Linked DNA regions of Saccharomyces cerevisiae S288C. The protein of the gene in region 3 interacts with the protein of the main gene of each other region in a pairwise test. Each region holds a gene or a part of one and is shown on either strand. Other genes may lie near its edges. The genes, in order: GDI1, YIP3 and YPT52.

What was found.
Region 1: the proteins of YPT52 (region 3) and GDI1 interact in binary tests that used the Saccharomyces cerevisiae proteins (3 or more experiments, as listed by UniProt).
Region 2: the proteins of YPT52 (region 3) and YIP3 interact in a two-hybrid assay, tested with the Saccharomyces cerevisiae proteins (one study listed by BioGRID).

The regions. Positions count from the first base shown.
Region 1 is NC_001137.3:437,616-441,562, forward strand, and holds GDI1 (Gdi1p), read left to right. Parts: upstream 1-2,000; coding exon 2,001-3,356; downstream 3,357-3,947. Other genes in the region: YER134C (Mg-dependent acid phosphatase), read right to left, coding at 1-188; YER135C (uncharacterized protein), read right to left, coding at 337-729; YER137C (uncharacterized protein), read right to left, coding at 3,758-3,947. UniProt on the Saccharomyces cerevisiae protein: Regulates the GDP/GTP exchange reaction of SEC4 by inhibiting the dissociation of GDP from it, and the subsequent binding of GTP to SEC4. Plays an essential role in the yeast secretory pathway.
Region 2 is NC_001146.8:543,282-546,437, forward strand, and holds YIP3 (Yip3p), read left to right. Parts: upstream 1-1,986; coding exon 1,987-2,010; intron 2,011-2,089; coding exon 2,090-2,596; downstream 2,597-3,156. Other genes in the region: LAP2 (bifunctional aminopeptidase/epoxide hydrolase), read left to right, coding at 1-1,697.
Region 3 is NC_001143.9:464,725-467,923, forward strand, and holds YPT52 (Rab family GTPase YPT52), read right to left. Parts: upstream 1,348-3,199; coding exon 643-1,347; downstream 1-642. Other genes in the region: PRY2 (sterol-binding protein), read left to right, coding at 1-224; YKR015C (uncharacterized protein), read right to left, coding at 2,237-3,199. UniProt on the Saccharomyces cerevisiae protein: Required for transport in the endocytic pathway and for correct sorting of the vacuolar hydrolases suggesting a possible intersection of the endocytic with the vacuolar sorting pathway.

The DNA.
Region 1 (3,947 bases), on a different chromosome or scaffold from region 3:
AGATCACCTAGTATACGTGGGATATCTTTGTAGATTGTGAGCTCGTAACCATCTCTACATATAATTGTGAGAACTTCGCCATTACTACTTTTAACTGGCTTAAAGGGACCGTGCAAATGGGTATCACAATAGCAGGGCCAAATGGTGTAGTCCAAATCGAAGGCGGCCACGTCAGGGTATCCAGTCATAATAAACGCGTTGAGACTATTTTGGAGCAGGATTTGTAACAAAATTGTTCTCTTTGTAAGTTTAAGGACAAAAATGCTTGTTTCTCGAGAAGGTCTCCTTTTCGGCAGGTCCTTCTTCTAGTGCGTGAAAAATATTCTACTCAATCCCTTAGTATTCTTTGTAAACAATACACTTTAAAGAAATATGAATGCTTATCTGCTTTTCAACAATCATTTTAGAGTTCTTATTCACTGAGGTGCGAATGGGTACGAAATTTGTTTCAGGAGAATTTAGCTTGTTGCACACAAATTTCTGCCATTTATATCTGCAAGATCTGTTTCCCTCTTTCCAACTAGCGAGGCATATTAGAAAAAGAGTGAATAGTAACTTGTGTAAGTTTTGATGTAACGGTAGTATAGAGTACCTATAATATTCGCCGATTATATTCTCAAAACTTGTAAATAACGCCATGTCACCGTATGGAGAAAGTGCTAACCAAATTGTAATATCGACCAAGACCTTTTTCTGTGAATTATGTAAGTTTCTTAAAGTCCATGTCATGCTTGAAAGATTTTAATCAACCTTGCATTTGTGGTCGTTAAACTCAAAGGGGATATTCAAACGACAATCGACAACTAACTTCGAATAAACTAAGATTCACTTTATTGGGATATAATCAATTACCCTTCATTAAGTGGTGTATATGTTCCTGACGTATTGTCATTTTCGGGATAAGAGGTTTGATGACTATTTCTCGATTTTCATGTCATCCTCTTTACACCGTACGTGATAATACACTAATTACACGATATAACTGAGCAATGATATTTTAGAGCTTCATCTCCACAATTTCATGTGTAAATCTTAAGAATTGTAGATATATTCTATTTTTTAATGAAACTTTTTCAACAAATTAGGTTTCGTGGTCTAGTCGGTTATGGCATCTGCTTAACACGCAGAACGTCCCCAGTTCGATCCTGGGCGAAATCAATTTTTTTTTTCGAAAACGTTATAATTTACGTTAATTTACAAAGGGCATTCCTTTCATACTAAGCAATGTTTACTTCCAATCTCTTGAGACATCTTCGAAACTAGTTGAAAAGAGACAAATCCGCTTAATAACTAATAGTTACAAGAATGGCCAATCAAACTCTTGCCAAGCGATACAAGCTTTACAATCCTGTAACAAAAACATACTTTTAGCGGTTCCGACGGTATTCTTCTTTTTCTCCATATATTTTGCTTATGTTGGCTACTTTAAAATAATTACCGCTTCCCCCACCAGAAACTAAACATGAGCTAAAGGCGCAAAACTTAAAAAATTACATAGCCAAGACTGTTTTCAAGAAAAAAATATCAGACCACATTTGATAAAGTACATACCTCTGTTAACTCCCGTAATACACCCATATTCTTGTACTTTCTACAATCTATCACTCAAACTTCTCTATTATCCAACATCTGCTGTTGCATAGTAAAGTAGGCCGTAAACGCTCAAAACCGTTATCTTTAGGTTACCCTTATGTTTGAATCGTTTATCTCACATTGGCGGTGTTTTCCCCTCTCCTGTGGGCTCCAAAATCTTGGCCGTGGGAAGCTTCAGCGAGGGATTGTAGATGTAGTTTCAACACGTCGGCTGATTTATCCCGATTTTGTTAGTAGAAAAGGTTCTACTTCATTCTTGCTTGAGACGTCGTCCCATCAAATTTCTAACATAGTCTTTTTTCAAGGAAGGATATTTTTCAAAGCAGGACTGCAATTAGTCTTTTCCTTTTCTTTACTCCCCTTCCATCATAACTGTTAGTGAATAACCACTTATATAGCATAACACAATGGATCAAGAAACAATAGACACTGACTACGACGTGATTGTCTTAGGTACCGGTATTACCGAATGTATCTTATCTGGTTTACTCTCTGTAGATGGAAAAAAGGTATTACATATTGACAAGCAAGACCATTATGGTGGCGAAGCTGCTTCTGTGACCTTATCTCAATTGTATGAAAAATTTAAACAAAATCCGATCAGTAAAGAGGAACGGGAGTCCAAGTTTGGTAAAGATAGAGATTGGAATGTCGACTTAATTCCTAAATTCCTGATGGCCAATGGTGAGCTGACAAATATTTTAATACATACCGATGTGACCAGATATGTCGATTTCAAGCAAGTTTCTGGCTCCTACGTTTTTAAGCAAGGCAAAATTTACAAAGTGCCAGCTAATGAAATAGAAGCCATTTCATCGCCATTGATGGGTATTTTTGAAAAACGTAGAATGAAGAAATTTTTAGAATGGATTAGCTCTTACAAAGAAGATGACTTGTCCACTCATCAAGGATTAGACTTAGACAAGAATACCATGGATGAAGTGTATTATAAATTTGGGTTAGGCAATTCTACCAAAGAATTCATCGGTCATGCAATGGCTTTATGGACCAATGATGACTACTTACAACAACCTGCTAGGCCATCGTTTGAGAGGATTTTGTTATATTGCCAAAGTGTTGCCCGTTACGGTAAATCACCTTATTTGTATCCTATGTATGGGTTAGGCGAACTTCCACAAGGATTTGCTCGTTTGTCGGCTATTTACGGTGGTACTTACATGCTAGACACTCCAATTGATGAAGTATTGTATAAAAAAGACACAGGAAAATTTGAAGGGGTCAAGACTAAGCTGGGAACTTTCAAGGCCCCATTGGTTATTGCTGATCCAACTTATTTTCCCGAAAAATGTAAATCTACTGGTCAAAGAGTTATTAGAGCCATCTGTATTCTTAACCATCCAGTTCCGAACACCAGTAACGCGGATTCTTTACAAATTATTATCCCACAAAGCCAACTGGGAAGGAAAAGCGATATATACGTTGCGATTGTTTCAGATGCGCATAACGTTTGCTCCAAGGGTCACTATTTAGCAATTATTTCTACAATCATTGAAACTGATAAACCACATATAGAATTAGAGCCTGCTTTCAAACTTCTGGGACCAATCGAAGAAAAATTCATGGGAATTGCCGAATTATTTGAACCAAGAGAAGACGGCTCTAAGGATAACATTTACTTATCCAGATCATACGACGCATCCTCTCATTTCGAATCCATGACTGACGATGTTAAAGATATTTACTTCAGAGTAACAGGCCACCCATTAGTTCTAAAACAAAGACAAGAACAAGAAAAGCAGTAAATTCATACCTTTACGACTAAAGCAGCAATTGGAGGGTAAACTTATTTTTTCCGATAATGTTCTTGGCAAATGAGTTACCAATAAATGACATGAATTACAGAAAACAAGAAAATATTTGCCAAAAAAAAACCAATACAAAAATATAGGGGAAAAGATTATCCTTTATTCCTTTCTCATTCCACTTTTTTTTTTTGTTATATGCGTATTCTGATTGATTCATAACTAAGTATCTTTCCTTTTCTTTTCTTTCAATTTCTTTTTTCCATATATAAATACATAAATTTACATACCTTATGTAGTATAATATATGGAAGAATGCTACTGAACACATCAGTACACATGCTATGTACTTACAATCTTAGTAAGGTAGATGTAGGTCTAATGCTTCGATGATCCCTTCATTATTTCTTGGGTATAACTGTCAGTCTCGCACCGCAGTGTGCCCTTGTGTGGCCAGCCTCGTGACAAAATGAACATTTTATCTTATTTTTTTTCTTTTTACTACTCTTTTTGCTGGTTACTCCCTGAATAGTGCTCGTAGTTTTATCTGCCTCTTCCTTGGCTTTAATCGGTATCAGGGCATATTTTTGA
Region 2 (3,156 bases), on a different chromosome or scaffold from region 3:
ATCTGGATACATCCTATTTGGATGTCCAGGAGGTTCATATTGATGGTTCCAAGGCAGATTTTCAAATTGAGCAAAGAAAGGAGCCATTGGGCTCCAGGTTAGTCATCAATAACGCTTCTTGCAACGATAACTTTACCTTGAATATTCAATTTCGTACGACTGACAAGTGCACCGCTTTGCAATGGTTGAACAGCAAGCAAACCAAGGGCGGTAAACCGTACGTGTTTTCACAGTTGGAAGCTATTCATGCGAGGTCTTTGTTCCCCTGCTTTGATACTCCCTCTGTGAAGTCTACTTTCACTGCATCTATCGAGTCCCCACTACCAGTGGTTTTTTCAGGCATCAGGATTGAAGATACAAGCAAGGATACTAATATTTACAGATTTGAACAGAAAGTCCCTATCCCAGCCTACCTGATCGGTATTGCTTCCGGTGATTTGTCAAGCGCTCCAATTGGACCTCGTTCCACAGTTTACACTGAACCATTTCGTTTGAAAGATTGTCAATGGGAATTTGAAAACGATGTAGAGAAATTCATTCAAACTGCAGAGAAAATTATCTTTGAATACGAGTGGGGCACTTATGATATCTTAGTTAACGTCGATTCGTACCCTTACGGCGGTATGGAGTCTCCGAATATGACTTTTGCTACGCCCACCTTGATTGCACATGACAGATCCAACATTGATGTCATCGCCCATGAACTTGCTCACTCATGGTCTGGTAACTTAGTGACCAATTGTTCGTGGAATCATTTTTGGTTGAATGAAGGTTGGACCGTTTACTTAGAAAGAAGAATTATTGGTGCCATTCATGGCGAACCAACTAGACATTTCAGTGCTCTGATTGGTTGGAGCGATTTGCAGAATTCTATTGATTCTATGAAAGATCCTGAAAGATTTTCCACTTTGGTACAAAACTTGAACGATAACACTGACCCTGACGATGCCTTTTCCACTGTTCCGTACGAAAAGGGGTTCAACTTACTATTTCACTTGGAAACTATTTTGGGTGGTAAGGCTGAATTTGATCCATTTATTAGACACTATTTCAAGAAGTTTGCCAAAAAATCATTGGATACTTTCCAGTTTTTGGATACTTTGTATGAGTTCTATCCCGAAAAGAAAGAAATTTTGGATTCCGTTGACTGGGAAACTTGGCTGTATAAACCAGGTATGCCACCAAGGCCTCATTTTATTACGGCTTTGGCTGATAATGTTTATCAATTGGCTGACAAGTGGGTCGAAATGGCTCAACATTTGAAAACCACAGAGGATTTCCGGTCTGAATTTAACGCTATTGACATTAAGGATTTTAATTCAAATCAATTGGTTTTGTTCTTGGAAACTTTGACACAAAATGGCCATTCCAACAAGAAACCAAAAGATTTTGACTGGGCCAAGTTTCCCGTGGCATCTAGGGCACTGTTAGATATCTATCAAGATAACATTGTTAAATCACAGAACGCGGAAGTTGTTTTCAAGATGTTCAAATTTCAGATCTTTGCCAAGCTGCAAGAAGAATATAAGCATTTGGCCGATTGGTTGGGAACTGTAGGTAGAATGAAGTTTGTCCGTCCCGGTTACAGACTATTAAACTCTGTAGACCGTCGATTGGCACTTGCAACTTTCGACAAATTCAAGGACACGTATCATCCAATCTGTAAAGCTCTTGTGAAACAAGATTTAGGTCTTTGAAAAGGGACGTGTCGTAACATGAATACGTAAACAATTAAATATAACCTACTAATGAGCCTTCATTGCTACTTCTCTGGTTCTAATTAGTGGCGGAGTTCTGTGTCGTGCGATACGAATTTTGCACTTTTGTCACATGCAATCGAGGCAAAAAGAAAAAATAAATAATAACAACGAATATAAATACAAATCGAAAGAATTCAGATTGAATTCAATATTGCAGGGCTTTGAACACTGAGTTTGGAACTATCAGCCGTCAAATACGCATAAAATAACATCAAATACTCCAATAATGAATCAGTTAGGAGCTTTAGCCGTAAGTTCTAAATTGTAAACACATTTGCATCATTGAAAAACTATACTAACGCGTTAACCTTTTTTCTATATTTCTATAGCAAGTTTCACGTTTCACTCAAAACTTCTCCATGGAAAATATTAAGAGCGAGTTCCAATCCTTGCAATCTAAATTAGCAACCCTTCGCACCCCGCAAGAATTTTTCAATTTCAAGAAAATTTCCAAACCTCAAAACTTTGGGGAAGTTCAATCCAGAGTGGCGTATAACCTGAAGTACTTTTCCAGTAACTATGGTTTGATTATTGGTTGTTTGAGCATTTACACATTATTAACAAACTTGTTGCTACTCTTTGTTATTGTTCTAGTCGTAGCTGGTATTGTTGGTATAAACAAACTAAAGGGTGAGGAGCTCGTAACTCCATTTGGTTCTTTCAAGACCAACCAACTATACACCGGACTGGTTTGTGTTGCTGTGCCAATAGGTTTCTTAGCTTCGCCAATCTCAACTTTGCTATGGTTGATCGGTGCTTCTGCCGTCAGCGTTTTCGGACATGCATCATTGATGGAAAAACCCATCGAAACTGTATTTGATGAAGAAACTGTTTGAACACTCCTACAAGTGTTGGGAAAAGGAGTCATTCTTTTCTATTGTGTATTTTACTCTTCTTCAATATTTAGTTAATTCTTGTCTTTTATTCTCTTTCTCCGTCAACATTAGTATTTAATTGTATACAGACACCATTCATAATTGCAGTTAGCTTCTCTGTTCTTTCTCATTCCTAGGATTTACAATGCAGTCTTACCTTATTTGTTTATGTTTTTTTCGTTTATCAAGCGTGCAATCAATTACTGAAGATTCACGTGCCAAAACGTAAAAATAATAATAACATAACCCGAGAGAGGCAAGATTAGAATCAATTCATCTTTTCAAACAAATGGTTATATCGACTAAGCGAAGTGATTAGATGGTGTACGTCGCAGATATTCAACAGTGACGAATTATATGCGATTGTAAGATTGATTGGCAAATCGTATTCCATTACTACTATTAACAACTGATGGCATCTAGAAGGTAAAAAGGGTCAACGTAGATGAGGTAGAGTTTGAGCTTAGGGCCCTGCCGAGTTTTCATTAGAAGACCTCTACTACACTTCAAAATGAAATACC
Region 3 (3,199 bases):
CTGTTGATGCCTGGTATAACGAAATTACCAGCTACGACTATTCCAACCCTGGTTTTAGTGAAAGCGCAGGTCACTTCACCCAAGTCGTATGGAAGGGAACTTCTGAAGTTGGTTGCGGTTTGAAATCTTGCGGTGGCGAATGGGGCGATTACATCATTTGTTCCTACAAAGCCGCTGGTAATGTCATTGGTGAGTTTGCTGACAACGTTATGCCATTAGCTTAATCACTGAATTTAGCGAATACATGGGTATGGACATGAACAGCAATGGGCACTGTTCCTTCTCTTACATTTCTCTTTTATAGTTTCAATTTTTATTATACACTAAGGATTCTTCTTTTCTAGGGTACGCAAATTAAATGCAAGCAAGATCATATAACATTGTCATAGTCTCATGCATGGTAAATAGGGTGAACGAAAAAAATTGGGAGATCTTGCCGACGGCTACGTATATATATATATATATATAAATATATATATATATATTCATGTATACTGTATATGTACAATCATATATAAAGTTACTCTTCCCTTTTCTTTTTTTTTTTACATTATTACGTATATACTGCTTTATTATCGGAAAGTAGCAGTTTAATTAAAGCAACTTCTGTTGTTTTTCCTCTAAAACACAAATCATAGGATATCAACTGCAACAAGATGTTGGATCATTTGTGGATGGCCTTTGCAAATTAATGTCTACTTGTCCGTTATTGCCTCCACCGATTTGTCTATTTTGCTTAGAGAGAATTTCGTCTTTCTTTAAATCGTATAATTTTTCACCAATATCTTGAAAAATTTCCTTAACCCCTTCACCTGTCTTAGCACTAACTTCTCGGAACAGCAACCCTTGTTCTTGTGCGTACTGTTTCGCTTCTTCAGTGCTAATTGCTCTTACTTTTTGTTCTTCATCTCCACCTTCGTTTGAATCTGGGCTTGTCTCAGTGCTAGGCGTTTCTTGACATAAATCCACTTTGTTTCCCAGTAAATAAATAACCAAGTCGTCGTCGCCTACCTTATTTTTCAGCTCATCAACCCAGTTCCTTGCCTTTTGTAGTGAATCTTCCTGCGTAATGTCATAAACAACTAATGCTGCATTAGCGTTTCTATAATACATTGGTGCCAATGACTTGTATCTTTCTTGACCAGCAGTATCCCAGATTTCAAATTTTATAACGACATCCTTTGTTTCATTACCATCGTTTGGGTGAATAGTGATTGATTGAGATAAAAAAGCAGCACCAATCGTACTTTCACGTAGTTCATCGAATGTATCCTTAACAAAACGATGAACAATGGAAGATTTACCCACGGATGAGTCACCCAATAAAACTAGTTTAAATTGCAACATCTGTTAATAATATATACGTTTACTCCAAATAAGTTAAACCTTCTTCCTACCCTCGCACTATAAAAAAAAATTTAGATATGTCCAGAGCTCGATATCGAAGCGACTTAACAAATAATTAATACTGACAGTTGGTAAACGGGCCTGTTCCCTTCACTCCCGTATGTTAACATTGTAACTTCATATCGCAGGGGCAGAGCTTTATAAACCTGAATTGTCCGGCCAGAATAGTAGTCGCTGTCCACGAAAGCAAGACACTATGAAGTTGCCGTTTGGTCTCAATGATACACATAGTGTTAAGAACATTGAGTAATTTGGAGTCAGATTGATTTCATTCCTTTACAATCGTGATGTGCCTATTTAATTCAAGGTCATGTGGATTTCAAAATTTAACATAATGATTTTACCTACCTTTCACACATTTGAACATGGGAACGCTTAAATATTAATTACTGTGCTTCACTACAATTACAAGAGAGTACGTATTGACGTTATTACCAGTTTACTTTCCATCATACTTATCGCAGAAAACAAAATATCTAAAAAAAGTATAGTAAACGGTTGATGTCATCAAGAAGCATACCTTACTCCTTATATAGAAAGCTAAGAGACACCTAGAAACATTGATTTGCCAAAAATCCACATTCCTCGAAATGGGGCCTAAAATGTGCGCTAATGCGCTAATAAAGGTGATATAAAGTTCAAATCTTGAGTATACATATGACATACAACCATAAGGCCTGATTATTGTCTATTTACTGCAATTTTCATCTTCAGTTCCAATCCACGGTATAATGAAATGTAATGCATCCTATCTTATTTTTGAATGTATTATGTTAATCGTCACGTTTTGGTAATGATTTCTAGATGCGACTATAGCATTTTTGGCAAATCAAGCGTTTATTTTGACTTTTCTAAATTTGGCTTTAAAATCCCTAAATTTCACAGTTACGACATCCTTAAAGTGGATATCTGTTAAAATAGTTGACCCAAGTACTTCACTCTCCCCAGGCATTTTGTTGATGTTGTTACTGCTCGCATTGTATTTCATTATACATTTTCTCTTGTCCTTTGTTCGCTGATTCCTTTCTCCATGAGGTGATATGTTGAGTTTAATCTTAAGGTATTCTCTCACTAGACCGTGCGCTTCCTCTTTATGGCAATTTTTGCATGATTTACTATTTTTATTATTACTATTATCATTTTTACTGGCGGAAGATGCTATTTTGGTCCTAGGTCTAACTACCTGATTTTTTGTATGTCTCTCCGAGTGCTTACCAGGTTCTTCGACCTGATTTTCGTCCATAACCATCTGATCTTTACAATATTTTTTCTCAAATGTCTGAGCCTTCTCCAATCCTAGCATTTGTTGCTCCTTTCTCCAAACTCTAGCACATCTTTCACTCATGTAAATTGGATCAATATCTTTCATAGTGGTATTCCAAGATATGTTGTTTTGGTCATTATCTTGGGGTTCAGGTTGAAAGTACGCGTTTTCCATCGGTGTTCCTGCATTATCTTCACTTTCGCTTCTAGACTTTTGAGCTATTCCGTCGTTCGCAATTTTAGGTCTGTCGTTATTTTTCTCTTCATTGTCATCCTTTACTTTATCCACTTCTGTTACATAGCCTATTACCACAGCAGCGCAGTTATTAAAAGTATTGACAACCCTATTAGCGAGAGGTGTTTTTATGATATTTTTCAATCCTGATGACGCTTCAACTTCAATACTATCCATTTTTTTTCTCTCTATCATAATGTTCTCCTGTTCCTCACCTTGCATCCTCACCTTGGCTTCTTCTTCTCTCCGTTTTTTCCTTTCCTCGTGTTCCTTGTAAGGTCTCATGTCAACATA